Saccharomyces cerevisiae S288C: one gene and its partners. The protein of the gene in region 1 binds, or shares a complex with, the protein of each later gene. Each region holds a gene or a part of one and is shown in the gene's direction. Other genes may lie near its edges.

Region 1 (3,777 bases):
ATAAGTTCGTTTTGATATTTTTTCAATGTGGCTTCGATTTTCGCTTTGATTTCTGGCAGAGTTTGCCTAATGTGGTGTAATAAGATTGAGTTTAACTTTTTAGCCAAATATGGTGTACCACAGTAATGAGCTTTAGAACTGTAAGAGGGATGGTTCTCAAAAAATTTTCTTTCGTTTTCAAGGGCTTCTCTGATTGTTTTTTTGTGTTCAATATCCTTTTGACCTCTATTGATAACTGGGATATAACCATATCTCAAAGGAATGACTCTTCCAGCCAAAATATCTATGACATCTGTACCTTGATCCATCAAATCGACTTTTGTCAAGACACCAATAGTTCTCGTTCCTTCTGGATCGACCTCTCTAGCCAGCTTCAAACCATCGCTGTTGGCTAAATCGGTGTTAGCGGCATTAACAGATAATATGATAGCGTTTGGTTTCGAAATATACTTTAACAACATGTCCTTAATTTGTCTTTCAATATCAGGAGGTTGGTCACCTACGGGAACCTTCGTCAACCCAGGCAAATCCACTAACGTCAAAGTAAGAACATGCGGAGAATAAATTCTCAAGTTAATGGGCACAGAAGAAATACCTGAATTGGCACCTGTCACTTTGTCAGTTTCTTTGACGATTTCCTTTCTAATTTCGTCAAAATTATAAAACTTCTTACCAGGTAAATGCAAAAATTCACCCCATTCCTCTTTATTGTCTTCAGATTGTCCCTCGTTCTGGTGCTTTCCTGATTCATCCTTTTTCTTGTCATCATCGTTGATGTTCAAGTCAATCAATTCATTAGCAGTTTGGTTTACTTTAGCATGTTCTGACTTTTTTGGTCTCCTATTAATCAATTGTAACACTAAAGGTCTCCTGGTGACAATACCAGTACCTCTTGGCAAGAAATCCCTACCAACAATGTTCTCCAAAACGGACGACTTTCCTGACGACTGGGAACCGACAACAGTGATCTGTGGTAAATCAATAGGAGATTGAGATCCTCCTCCTAAGGGCGCCAAAGCGTCCTGAAGCTTGTTAATAGTAGAAATTAAATGCTCATCCATGATATCTGATAATATAAAATGTGCAGTTTTCGTACGGTCCTTATTTTGGTGCTATAAAAGGCCTCTCTAATTCTTTTTTAGGAGTAAATAGATGAATTATCTCGGTCTGTCTTGGAAGATATGTTGTTCTCTTGATGGCAAAGCGACGCGAATCAACGGCGCCCAAGTCTTTGGGTGACCCGGCCACTTAATAATGTTTGGGGAAGAAATCAATCCATTAGAACATTGGTTTTGGAAACTAGGCCAGTCCAAGCGCACAAGTGGTTTACCCTCGAGCATTTTTCGACTATTAGAGGATTCAAGTATCTATCGAATTCTCTGAAGCTATCATACTATCCTCTGGACGATATTAGAACGATTTTTCAAGTGAAACGTTTTAGCAAAAGTTTAAAGACACTAAACTAGCTAAATAATTTCACTGTGAGCAAGTCTTTAAACGGTCTTTTTTGAATCAAAAGAGGCCTAGAATTAGCAAAATATTTAACGCATAAACTTTTTTTAGACAAATAATGAGCTCTCAAAAGGTTTTTGGTATTACTGGACCTGTTTCCACCGTGGGCGCCACAGCAGCAGAAAATAAATTAAATGATAGTTTAATCCAAGAACTGAAAAAGGAAGGATCGTTCGAAACAGAGCAAGAAACTGCCAATAGGGTACAAGTGTTGAAAATATTGCAGGAATTGGCACAAAGATTTGTTTATGAAGTATCGAAGAAGAAAAATATGTCAGACGGGATGGCAAGGGATGCTGGTGGGAAGATTTTTACGTATGGGTCCTATAGACTAGGAGTCCATGGGCCTGGTAGTGATATCGATACTTTGGTAGTTGTTCCAAAACATGTAACTCGGGAAGATTTTTTTACGGTATTTGATTCACTACTGAGAGAGAGGAAGGAACTGGATGAAATTGCACCTGTACCTGATGCGTTTGTCCCGATTATCAAGATAAAGTTCAGTGGTATTTCTATCGATTTAATCTGTGCACGTCTAGACCAACCTCAAGTGCCTTTATCCTTGACTTTATCAGATAAAAATCTACTGCGAAATCTAGACGAGAAGGACTTGAGAGCTTTGAATGGTACCAGAGTAACAGATGAGATATTAGAACTGGTACCAAAGCCGAATGTTTTCAGAATCGCTTTAAGAGCTATTAAGCTATGGGCCCAAAGAAGGGCTGTTTATGCTAATATTTTTGGTTTTCCTGGTGGTGTGGCTTGGGCCATGCTAGTGGCTAGAATTTGTCAACTATACCCTAACGCCTGTAGCGCAGTTATATTGAACAGATTTTTCATCATTTTGTCGGAATGGAATTGGCCACAACCTGTTATCTTGAAACCAATTGAGGATGGCCCGTTACAAGTTCGTGTATGGAATCCAAAGATATATGCCCAAGACAGGTCTCATAGAATGCCCGTCATTACACCAGCTTATCCATCAATGTGTGCTACCCATAACATCACGGAATCTACTAAAAAAGTCATTTTACAGGAATTCGTAAGAGGCGTTCAAATTACGAATGATATTTTTTCCAATAAGAAGTCCTGGGCCAATTTATTCGAAAAAAACGATTTTTTCTTTCGATACAAGTTCTATTTAGAAATTACTGCATATACAAGGGGCAGTGACGAGCAGCATTTAAAATGGAGTGGTCTTGTTGAAAGTAAGGTAAGGCTTCTAGTTATGAAACTGGAGGTGTTAGCTGGAATAAAAATTGCACATCCTTTCACCAAACCCTTTGAAAGTAGTTATTGTTGTCCAACCGAGGATGACTATGAAATGATTCAAGACAAATACGGTAGTCATAAAACTGAGACAGCACTGAACGCCCTTAAACTGGTAACAGATGAAAATAAAGAGGAAGAAAGTATTAAAGATGCACCAAAGGCATATTTAAGCACCATGTACATAGGCCTTGACTTTAATATTGAAAACAAAAAGGAAAAAGTTGACATTCACATTCCCTGCACTGAATTTGTGAATTTATGTCGAAGTTTCAATGAGGATTATGGTGACCACAAAGTATTCAATCTAGCCCTCCGCTTCGTAAAGGGTTACGATTTGCCAGATGAAGTTTTCGATGAAAATGAAAAGAGACCATCAAAGAAGAGTAAAAGGAAGAATTTAGATGCTAGACATGAAACCGTGAAGAGATCTAAATCAGATGCTGCTTCAGGTGACAACATCAATGGCACAACCGCAGCTGTTGACGTAAACTAAGACATTCCTATTTATAGTTGAATAGTTTATTAATATAGGTTAATCAGTCATAAACAAATTTGTACCCTTTTTTTTGAATCAAAGTACTTTTTTTACGAAGCAGTAAAACGTTTACGAGATTCTCTCTACATATGCTCTTTCGCGTGTAGCGACATTTTACCATTAGGTGAGAATTTTGTGTTACAAGCTGGATGTCAGGATGATACCTTTGAAGGCATAGTTAAATTGGCTGGGAAAGGAACGGAACCTTTTCCTTTCCGAGTTTCGGCCAGATATTTAGGCTTTTTTTTTTCTGACGGAATAGGGGACCCAGGATTGACAAATATAACAAAACAAGCTTCAACGAGACGTTTATCTCGAGAATTACGTCTGACAGTTACATGAAGTGTGAGTTCATGCAATCTGTACCTTTATTGACACAGATATACTAAAAGAAGTTACAATGGGCTCCAAAAAACTGACCGTAGGATCTGATTCGCACCGGTTGAGCAAATCCAGTT
Region 2 (3,724 bases), on another chromosome or scaffold:
AACACCCCATTGATCGCACTGAAAAAATTGCCTAAGGCTTTGGGTATCAAACCACAAATTTATGCTAAGCTGGAACTATACAATCCAGGTGGTTCCATCAAAGACAGAATTGCCAAGTCTATGGTGGAAGAAGCTGAAGCTTCCGGTAGAATTCATCCTTCCAGATCTACTCTGATCGAACCTACTTCTGGTAACACCGGTATCGGTCTAGCTTTAATCGGCGCCATCAAAGGTTACAGAACTATCATCACCTTGCCGGAAAAAATGTCTAACGAGAAAGTTTCTGTCCTAAAGGCTCTGGGTGCTGAAATCATCAGAACTCCAACTGCTGCTGCCTGGGATTCTCCAGAATCACATATTGGTGTTGCTAAGAAGTTGGAAAAAGAGATTCCTGGTGCTGTTATACTTGACCAATATAACAATATGATGAACCCAGAAGCTCATTACTTTGGTACTGGTCGCGAAATCCAAAGACAGCTAGAAGACTTGAATTTATTTGATAATCTACGCGCTGTTGTTGCTGGTGCTGGTACTGGTGGGACTATTAGCGGTATTTCCAAGTACTTGAAAGAACAGAATGATAAGATCCAAATCGTTGGTGCTGACCCATTCGGTTCAATTTTAGCCCAACCTGAAAACTTGAATAAGACTGATATCACTGACTACAAAGTTGAGGGTATTGGTTATGATTTTGTTCCTCAGGTTTTGGACAGAAAATTAATTGATGTTTGGTATAAGACAGACGACAAGCCTTCTTTCAAATACGCCAGACAATTGATTTCTAACGAAGGTGTCTTGGTGGGTGGTTCTTCCGGTTCTGCCTTCACTGCGGTTGTGAAATACTGTGAAGACCACCCTGAACTGACTGAAGATGATGTCATTGTTGCCATATTCCCAGATTCCATCAGGTCGTACCTAACCAAATTCGTCGATGACGAATGGTTGAAAAAGAACAATTTGTGGGATGATGACGTGTTGGCCCGTTTTGACTCTTCAAAGCTGGAGGCTTCGACGACAAAATACGCTGATGTGTTTGGTAACGCTACTGTAAAGGATCTTCACTTGAAACCGGTTGTTTCCGTTAAGGAAACCGCTAAGGTCACTGATGTTATCAAGATATTAAAAGACAATGGCTTTGACCAATTGCCTGTGTTGACTGAAGACGGCAAGTTGTCTGGTTTAGTTACTCTCTCTGAGCTTCTAAGAAAACTATCAATCAATAATTCAAACAACGACAACACTATAAAGGGTAAATACTTGGACTTCAAGAAATTAAACAATTTCAATGATGTTTCCTCTTACAACGAAAATAAATCCGGTAAGAAGAAGTTTATTAAATTCGATGAAAACTCAAAGCTATCTGACTTGAATCGTTTCTTTGAAAAAAACTCATCTGCCGTTATCACTGATGGCTTGAAACCAATCCATATCGTTACTAAGATGGATTTACTGAGCTACTTAGCATAAATAAGAACCCACGCTTCAAATAAAAGCAAACATAGAAGCAAAATCCGTCATTCCTTTCCTATTCAATTGCACCGTTCTCTTTATATAACTACTTAATTAAATAGCGCCTATACGAAGCAGCATTGTTCTATTATTTTTACAAATTCCTTATCATGCATGCATCACATCAGTGTTTGAATCTGTTAACTTTTCACTTTATTGCTCTTACCCGACTCTGAAGAAAAACAAAAAAACAGCGACATGTTGGAAAGGTCGGGCAGTAAAGCAGAATTTCAGAAATACTAGTACGATTGTTTGAGGTCTTGCGAAACCGTGCATTCATAATAGCACCTTTTTCAGTCGCTCATCCGGTCGTCCTATCTGTAAACGTCACTGTCAAACACGTTGCATTGATTAGATTTTATTATTTTATATATAGGTATATTTAGAAAACTCACAACTGGAGAAGACGAAGAACGAAGAACGAAGGAAAAAAATTGATGACAGATCCCAGAAGAAGAACAGGCCGTCATTTCTTGACACCGGAGAATTTATCCTCTACATTACAAATCACAAACTTACCTCCAGAATGGAACCAAGATATAATTACTTCGGTCGTGGCCGGTTCTGGTCCAGTTATAGATATAAAAGCTAAGAATGACCCGAGAACTGGTAAACTAACCGGTGTACTGTTCGATTATTTGACTAGTAAAGATTGTAAACGCGCTTGGGAAATTTTAAATAGAATTGAAAACTTTCCCGTAAAGATAGAGCAAATAATCCCACCAAATTATAAGGACCATCTTAGAGAAACAGCAAATAAAAATTCTCAAAAGCAGGTATTACAACTTAATAGAGATTCGTACCCCTTCGAGGCGGGTTTGGAGCTACCTTTCGAAATGGTGACAGAAGTCCCCATTCCTAGGCGACCACCGCCACCACAGGCTGCAAATAACACAAACTCTGTATCAAATAACACAAACATTCAATTCCCCGACATACTAAGTAAAGCATCTAAACACTTGCCAAGTTTCCAAGATGGCTCGATTATTGCACCAGACAAAATTTCACAAAATTTAAGTAAAATTCCGCCGTTGCAACTTATTGAAATTATATCAAATTTGAAAATATTATCAAACCAAGAAAACATCCAAAAATCGCAATTAGAATCTTTCTTAGATACTAACAGTGATATCACAATATCAGTGACCCAAGCCCTACTAGAAATGGGATTTATAGACTACAGCGTGGTGACTAAAGTGTTGAAATCCCAAGTTGGCGAGGCCCCATCTTTGCTTTCGAGTAATAACACAAGTAATTCGAACACCCCCGTAAGCGTAATTAGAAATAACACTCCGTTGCATGTACCTTCTAATGAAGTCAGCAACAATCCTAACAATATGCCACTGAACGTAGCTATGCCAATGCCTATGTCGACACCACCATTTATCCCTTTACCTCTGCAACAACAACCGTTCGGTTTTGCGCCACCGGGCCCTTTCATGCCTCCAGCTCAAGGCCCCTCCATGGGACAGCCTGTGTTGGCAAATCAACTCGGCCAGGTCCAGCAACAAAATATAAGTTCTACAGAAGGACCCTCTAACGCGAATAAAGCGAATGACAGCGGCACCATTAATATGGCGAAACTGCAATTACTACCTGAAAACCAACAAGATATGATCAAACAAGTTCTTACTTTGACACCTGCCCAGATCCAAAGTTTACCAAGTGACCAGCAACTTATGGTGGAAAACTTTAGAAAAGAATATATAATCTAAGTAATCAGAGCCATAGCGTATCAGAAAACCACACCTAATTAGATGGTTCTTGCATCTGTACCTCTTATCACTAAAAGCGGCACTAAACTTCCAACATTAAATGTTTGCCTTGTTAAATATATATTTTTGCCTTGGTTTAAATTGGTCAAGACAGTCAATTGCCACACTTTTCTCATGCCGCATTCATTATTCGCGAAGTTTTCCACACAAAACTGTGAAAATGAACGGCGATGCCAGAAACGGCAAAACCTCAAATGTTAGATAACGTGGATCTCCGACACATGTGAATTTATAAGTAGGCATATGAAAATACAGATTCTTTCCACTGTGTTCCCTTTTATTCCCTTCTCATGTGAAGAGTTCACACCAAATCTTCAAAATATAACTAATATAGTAGAGTTTGATTCAAAGGACCTTTTTTTTTGCCTCTTTGATTAGTTTATCTTCTTTTCTTCATTTTATCCCCTAATTTTATACGTTAGTTCAACCTAACAATCCAG
Region 3 (4,754 bases), on another chromosome or scaffold:
ACATTATCGTTTCCTTCTTCCCAAGAAAAAAACCTGAAAATCAATGTAAACAATGATAACAATGGTATGACCATCAGCAGCGTCAACAGAGAACACAACAATAATCACAACAATAATAATGATAATAATAATAATAATAACAATAATAATAATAATAGTAATAATAATAATAATGTTAATAATAATGATAATGAAAGTAATAGCAGAAGCACTACCAACAACAGCTGCAATAATGGCAACAACAGCCAGTATGTTCGTAACAACAACGTAACTATGGAAAATGATGTAGAAAGGCCTATTCAAGACCAATATATCGTCAAGAAACCAACCAACCAAACAGAGTTTGATTGGCAAGTATTTCAACAGCAGGCCTTTCTACAACAGCAACTAGCTCAGCACAATTTACAAGCGTATCTATCGTCCCTGAACACCGATACTATGACCAATAGAAGTCCTTCAAAATCTTCTAGCATATCTACAGCCTCTTCGCATTCGGATCCGATTCCAATAGCGATGACGCAAAGCCCAACTCCATATCCTCAAACTTCCAATATGCTACCGCAACAGCATGTATCACGACCACTGCCGCAACAACAGCGGGAGCAGCCACAACAACATATTACTTCTCCACAAAGATTCTCAGAAAGCAATTTTACGAATCAATTAAACAATGGTATGATCAACAGTAATCCTCTACAATCTGCAATATTCTCTAACCATACAAGTGAAAATAAGCAATTAAGAGATGTCGAAGAATCAAATTTCAGTACATCACCCCTAAGAGCAGATTATGGCAATAATATTATCTCCTCGATACCAGCGTCATTTACTAGCAATTCAATTCCGGTCAGTGTCAAACAAGCTCGAAATGGCTCTTCTTCGGGCGATATACTTTTCAGCAACGGTGCTCATGACATGATCAACAATATTTCCACCTGGACCAATAACTCCGTTCTAGATGCTTTGAATAGCAAGTCCATACTACAAACAATATTTCCCCAGAGTCAAGAGCCTTCATCTCTGTCCATGGACAAACAGCAGCAACAACATCAACAACAAAATATGTGTTCTGAAAACAATGTAACCGCTAATAATTTTCAACAGACGCAGAATGACCCTTCGTATAACAGAAATTTGTTCATGATGTCCAATCAGGAAGGTGTACAATATAATCTTGACGAAACAGAGAAGAATGGACCTAAAACACAGGTGGAAGCAAACACTAGCGCAAATCTGCATTTCGACAATGTTATTCCTACAGTAACTAACGCAGACATCAGGAAAAAGCGTTCTAACTGGGATAACATGATGACATCTGGTCCGGTAGAAGACTTTTGGACGATTAATGATGACTACGGCTTTTTAACGTGATACTACATTAATATAATAGTATGTACAAACTCATTCCTTTTTTTTTTTTTTTTTTTTTTCTCTTTTTTTTTAAAAGAACAACTAAATCGCTTTTTTTAATTATGATATGGGTCATATCTTATAAGCCTAATCTAAAACACATTTTTTTCTTTCATTTATATTGTTTTTAAAATCAATAAAACTCTTTCTTTCCTGTATAAAGTCCTCTCCAAAAGACTAAGTAGCGTGTTTGCAAATAAATACGGGTAAGCAGTTATTCTGGCCGAAAATTATGAAAAACTAGCGGATCTTTAACAACTTCTACTGCTTCAGCGCAATACATATTGAGATCACATCTAATAGGTTCAAAATGTTCACGGGTATAAGCGTTTATTTCTTTTACCCTTGTTTTCAGTACTTCAAAAGTTACAGCACAAAAGAAACATTGTATTATCAATTGAATTTTGTCCATTGAGGAAATAAAAAGTAACATAATAAGTTAACATTAATAAGTATACGCATATATGGAGCGAACAAATACAACAACATTCAAATTTTTTTCATTGGGAGGAAGTAACGAAGTTGGACGATCATGTCATATATTGCAATATAAAGGTAAAACAGTGATGCTCGACGCAGGAATTCATCCGGCATATCAAGGATTAGCTTCATTACCTTTTTACGATGAATTTGATCTTTCCAAAGTCGATATCTTACTGATATCACATTTCCATTTAGACCATGCCGCTTCACTTCCGTATGTGATGCAACGGACTAACTTTCAAGGCAGAGTTTTCATGACACATCCAACCAAAGCCATTTACAGATGGCTACTGCGAGATTTTGTAAGAGTTACTAGTATAGGTTCTTCATCCTCCTCTATGGGGACTAAAGACGAAGGTCTATTCTCAGATGAGGATTTAGTTGATTCTTTCGATAAAATTGAAACGGTGGACTATCATTCTACTGTTGACGTCAATGGTATCAAATTTACGGCATTCCATGCAGGCCATGTATTGGGTGCAGCGATGTTTCAAATAGAGATTGCTGGCCTTAGGGTGTTATTCACAGGTGACTATTCGAGAGAAGTAGATCGTCACTTAAATTCTGCTGAGGTGCCTCCACTTTCATCCAACGTATTAATTGTGGAATCTACCTTTGGTACCGCTACTCACGAGCCCCGTTTAAATAGAGAAAGGAAGCTAACCCAACTAATCCATTCCACAGTGATGAGAGGAGGCCGTGTTCTACTGCCTGTTTTTGCTTTAGGGAGAGCTCAAGAAATCATGCTTATACTGGATGAGTACTGGTCTCAACATGCTGATGAACTCGGTGGTGGACAAGTCCCAATATTTTATGCATCAAATTTGGCAAAAAAATGTATGAGCGTTTTTCAAACCTATGTAAATATGATGAATGATGACATTAGAAAAAAATTTAGAGACTCTCAGACTAATCCCTTCATATTCAAAAATATATCTTATCTTAGAAACTTGGAGGATTTCCAAGATTTTGGTCCCAGTGTGATGTTGGCCTCACCAGGTATGCTGCAAAGTGGGTTATCAAGAGATTTACTTGAAAGGTGGTGCCCTGAAGATAAAAATCTAGTACTAATCACCGGTTACTCCATCGAAGGAACAATGGCGAAATTTATTATGCTTGAGCCAGATACAATACCTTCCATAAATAATCCGGAAATAACCATTCCAAGACGTTGTCAAGTTGAAGAAATCTCCTTTGCCGCACACGTTGACTTCCAGGAAAATTTAGAATTTATTGAAAAGATTAGTGCGCCAAATATCATCCTTGTTCATGGAGAAGCCAATCCCATGGGCCGTTTGAAATCTGCATTGTTATCCAATTTCGCGTCTTTAAAGGGTACAGATAATGAAGTCCATGTTTTTAATCCTAGAAACTGTGTTGAAGTAGATCTTGAATTTCAAGGTGTCAAGGTTGCAAAAGCTGTGGGAAATATTGTGAACGAAATATATAAAGAAGAAAACGTAGAGATAAAGGAAGAAATTGCGGCTAAAATTGAACCTATAAAGGAAGAAAACGAAGACAACTTGGATTCTCAAGCAGAAAAAGGTTTGGTTGATGAAGAGGAACACAAAGACATAGTCGTTTCTGGGATTCTAGTTTCAGATGACAAAAATTTCGAATTAGACTTCCTTTCTTTGTCTGATTTAAGAGAGCACCATCCCGATCTTTCTACAACGATATTAAGAGAGCGCCAGTCAGTTCGTGTAAATTGTAAAAAGGAGCTAATTTACTGGCACATTTTACAAATGTTTGGAGAGGCTGAAGTTCTTCAAGATGATGATAGAGTAACAAATCAAGAACCAAAGGTTAAAGAAGAGTCAAAAGACAATCTGACCAATACAGGTAAATTGATTCTACAGATAATGGGTGATATTAAGTTAACTATTGTTAATACTCTAGCCGTTGTGGAATGGACTCAAGATTTAATGAATGACACTGTAGCAGACTCCATTATTGCTATACTTATGAATGTGGATTCAGCTCCCGCCAGTGTCAAGCTTTCGAGTCATTCTTGTGATGATCATGATCATAACAATGTGCAGTCTAATGCACAAGGTAAGATTGATGAAGTTGAGAGGGTGAAGCAAATCTCAAGGTTGTTTAAAGAACAGTTTGGTGACTGTTTTACTTTATTTCTCAATAAAGATGAATATGCAAGTAATAAAGAGGAAACTATAACTGGAGTGGTTACCATAGGTAAAAGCACTGCTAAGATTGACTTCAACAATATGAAAATTTTAGAATGTAATTCAAATCCTTTGAAAGGTAGGGTGGAAAGCCTCTTAAATATTGGTGGTAATTTGGTCACACCGCTATGTTAAAAACAGTTACGCATACTAAGTAGACTACTTTATAGAAGTAATACCAAACCAAAATCTGGTTAGAACTGCCTTTTATTGTTTACCTTAATCACTCTTTACGTAATGAAACCTAGAGATGAAATTTTAAAAATTTTTTTTCACGAACATAAAGAATAACTCTTCTAGACCATCTCATCTCATCTCATCTCATCTCATTTCATTTCGATTCTTCTAATTTCTTTCATTGAGTAAGAGCCTTTTGTTTTGGCTGATAGTTATAGTCAATCTACAATTTATCTCACAAAAGAAATAGACTAAGCCAAAACTGCAACGAAAGATCAAAAAAATGAGCTATGAGAAAAAGTCTGTGGAAGGCGCTTATATTGACGATTCTACAACGTTCGAAGCATTTCATCTCGACTCTCGTTTATTACAAGCTATTAAGAATATAGGATTTCAGTACCCAACATTAATTCAATCACATGCTATTCCTTTGGCTTTACAACAGAAGAGAGATATTATAGCAAAGGCCGCTACAGGTTCCGGAAAAACTTTGGCATA
Region 4 (2,925 bases), on another chromosome or scaffold:
ATTTTATATCTGTTGTAAAATCCGCTTACAATATAAGTGAAATTGTTCCATTTTGTTTCATAGGAATTCTTACTCAAAAAGGATGTTTTTTAATATTCATATAATATTTACAAATAGCTCTCTGAAAAAAAGGATTTTTTTTTACACCTAATAAAACTGTCATTCATGTTAAGTAACTAAAGTGCTTCACAACTGTACTTAATGAACTGAATCAATTTCCTTGGCAATGCAAATTCTTCCAGACAAGAGGCGGCCGCGGCGGTATCTCTAGAAAATTTGGCAGCCGCACAAAAGGGTCCTACTGATGACGGGCTGGCAAACGGCGCTCTCCAAGGCACAAACTTTGTGACAAAATAGAATCCAGCGGCAGAGATCCGGATAAAAATGGGGGAGTGGACTTTCAAAAGCCGTACACCTCTTGTACTGAGGACAAATAATACAAGTTAAACTTGAATATTTAGATATGAGACAAAATGCTAACGCACATTCTCACTCCTAAATACTTAATTTCGAAGTCTGCGTTCCAAGATATGTAAGCCATCCATTCATACGGGATTGATGGAAAAGTCAGTAAATTTACAATACCCCTTTTATTCTGTTTGATGTGACAACTACTCGAAATCTGCGTAGTAATAAATATAACCAAAGGGAGTTCTAAAGAAGAAAAAAGGAACTCCCCAAAATAGGTCAACGATTACGAAAATTTTTATATGTTTGTTGGAAGTATTCGAGGAATGAAAAGAAAAATGGGTAGCAAACTGGGAATAACTGAAATAGAACCAAACGTCATCTTTTTAGAAAGAAAGGCATTCTTAGAATCATGATATGCCGTCCTTCGACCATATTGTGACCTAAGCTTTTTCTTCGACAATTGATACTGCATAATCGAAGGAGGATAAAAAAGTTGTTACGATAGTATTCCTTGAATGCACTTGGACTATATATACATGTTTATATTAGACGCATCTTTGACATTTTGCTTGCGCTAACCTTGCAGGTAAGGAGAGCAAAGGGAAAATGCATCGAAAAAAAAAAAATCGTGCTATTTTCGCTAATAACTATGCAAAATCAAGTGAAATGGTGTTTCTCGAAAAAGGTCACAAGCGCAACTTTATTTTCATGGTATATTCAGAATTTATTTTAATGATCGAAAAAAATTGGCCTAGCAAAGTAATCATTCAATAGTTTAAAGGCGGTTGCGGAGGATAGTGACAGAAAGAACTTCAGAAAAAGGTCCCTAGCCTAAAAGGAGCCATCACTATTAATGAACTCTATGAAGTTTCTGCTAAGAGAAAAGAATTTAGCCGATGTTTTGTTCAACTGCGACGCTTAGGGAAGAAAACATCGAAATATCGCAAGTTGTGTAACCCAGGCCACTCAAAGTCGAGTCTTTAAAAGTAGTGGTTTTATGCATATGTGCTGTTGTTGTTTTCCGAGAGGGATGCATATGAAATCTAGCCGAAAAGGCGATATCGTAGTATACAATGATTATGTATTTTTTTTGATTTTAATTTTTAGATAACCGACGATGGGGATAAAAGATATAAATCATAATGGTATCAAGCATCGTTGCTACTATGAAAAAAGACTTTATGTGATAAACATGCTTTATCTAATCAATTCACTTACTTCTTTACAAAATTCACTCATTCAACGATAGAATAAAATAGTCTCAAATTTGAGATTTTTTTTTTTAACTTCGGATGTTCTTCTTCGGGAAAGGAAGAAAGCAAGAAAAACAAGAAAAAAATAAGAGGAAACGGAGATAAAATTGCATGTCTGCACTATGACTGAACAAGAGCGGCTCACGTAATTTGCATTATAACGTAAAATGGATTTACCCAAGGACAAAAGTGACAGAACTCATCAAAGAATTAATCTAAATAACAGTGGGACAGATCGAACTAATGATTTGTACCTTCATATTGTCCAAACGTTCGGTTGCATAGAAACAACTGCAACGGAAAATGCCACGAAACTGTTAATGCTGGGTGACGTCGAAGTAGAAATATCTGCGAGCAGCGTTTCAATTGAGTGGACACAGAAGTCAATGATAAGCCAAACAATTGCCGATAGTATAGTAATAATGATCATCGGTTTGTGTGCAAGCGACAAGAACGTGCTATCTGAATCAGAATTGAAAGAGAGAAACCATAACGTTTGGAAGATCCAAGAATTGCAAAATCTGTTTCGAGAACAATTTGGAGACAGTTTTAGCATCGATGAAGGAATAGGAAAAAAAGAAAATGTAAAGAATGGTAGCGTCACCATAGGCAAGAGTAAAGCCACGATCGATTTCTCCACCATGAAGCTGATTGATTGTAATTCGAACCCACTAAAGGGAAGAGTGGAGAGCATACTAAGCATTGGCCAGAAATTAACAACTCCATTGTGCTGAACGTCATTACTTACCTTTTTATTTTCTTGTATGTGCTTTCATCTGAATTATTGGTGGATTATGTAACAAGTTGTTGAGTTTTCCCCATATAACTACTTCGCCAAGGAAATGGTAGGTGCGGGGGCGGAGAACGCAAACCAGCGTATCTATGGCTAAATAAGGAAGAAGCAACAACACTGTTGTAATTATGAGGCATACATAGACACAGATTCGTACATTATTTCCATAATACGTAGGAATATTACTCAAGGACAAGCGGATTTCAACCTTAAAAGGTGAGGAGTAGCTGCATGAGCATCGGTGACGGTGATTTCACCTTACTTTTTCGGAATACGAATGTACACAAGCGGCACAATAAAGTTTAACCAATCTTGTTTTACGTAGCTATTTTTATTACTCTTAGTTTTGTGTGTATCTGCAATGCTACGAAGCGCCTCCGTAAACACCAATAATCGGTGCTGGAGTACTCTTATCACAAAAAGCCCGAGCACGCACCATGTAATTTCCGAGATCTGTTACGCAAACAA

What was found.
Region 2: PAP1 (region 1) and PTI1 share a complex: the UniProt entries of both Saccharomyces cerevisiae proteins name them as parts of the cleavage and polyadenylation factor (CPF) complex.
Region 3: PAP1 (region 1) and YSH1 share a complex: the UniProt entries of both Saccharomyces cerevisiae proteins name them as parts of the cleavage and polyadenylation factor (CPF) complex.
Region 4: PAP1 (region 1) and SYC1 share a complex: the UniProt entries of both Saccharomyces cerevisiae proteins name them as parts of the cleavage and polyadenylation factor (CPF) complex.

What each region holds. Positions count from the first base shown.
Region 1 is NC_001143.9:441,662-445,438, forward strand, and holds PAP1 (polynucleotide adenylyltransferase PAP1), read left to right. Parts: upstream 1-1,570; coding exon 1,571-3,277; downstream 3,278-3,777. Other genes in the region: dynamin-like GTPase VPS1, read right to left, coding at 1-1,061; oxysterol-binding protein OSH6, read left to right, coding at 3,720-3,777. UniProt on the Saccharomyces cerevisiae protein: Polymerase component of the cleavage and polyadenylation factor (CPF) complex, which plays a key role in polyadenylation-dependent pre-mRNA 3'-end formation and cooperates with cleavage factors including the CFIA complex and NAB4/CFIB.
Region 2 is NC_001139.9:798,600-802,323, forward strand, and holds PTI1 (cleavage polyadenylation factor subunit PTI1), read left to right. Parts: upstream 1-1,946; coding exon 1,947-3,224; downstream 3,225-3,724. Other genes in the region: cystathionine beta-synthase CYS4, read left to right, coding at 1-1,467. UniProt on the Saccharomyces cerevisiae protein: Component of the cleavage and polyadenylation factor (CPF) complex, which plays a key role in polyadenylation-dependent pre-mRNA 3'-end formation and cooperates with cleavage factors including the CFIA complex and NAB4/CFIB.
Region 3 is NC_001144.5:696,616-701,369, reverse strand, and holds YSH1 (cleavage polyadenylation factor subunit YSH1), read left to right. Parts: upstream 1-1,874; coding exon 1,875-4,214; downstream 4,215-4,754. Other genes in the region: YLR278C (uncharacterized protein), read left to right, coding at 1-1,371; DBP9 (ATP-dependent DNA/RNA helicase), read left to right, coding at 4,540-4,754. UniProt on the Saccharomyces cerevisiae protein: Component of the cleavage and polyadenylation factor (CPF) complex, which plays a key role in polyadenylation-dependent pre-mRNA 3'-end formation and cooperates with cleavage factors including the CFIA complex and NAB4/CFIB. Has endonuclease activity.
Region 4 is NC_001147.6:671,318-674,242, reverse strand, and holds SYC1 (cleavage polyadenylation factor subunit SYC1), read left to right. Parts: upstream 1-1,831; coding exon 1,832-2,398; downstream 2,399-2,925. UniProt on the Saccharomyces cerevisiae protein: Component of the cleavage and polyadenylation factor (CPF) complex, which plays a key role in polyadenylation-dependent pre-mRNA 3'-end formation and cooperates with cleavage factors including the CFIA complex and NAB4/CFIB.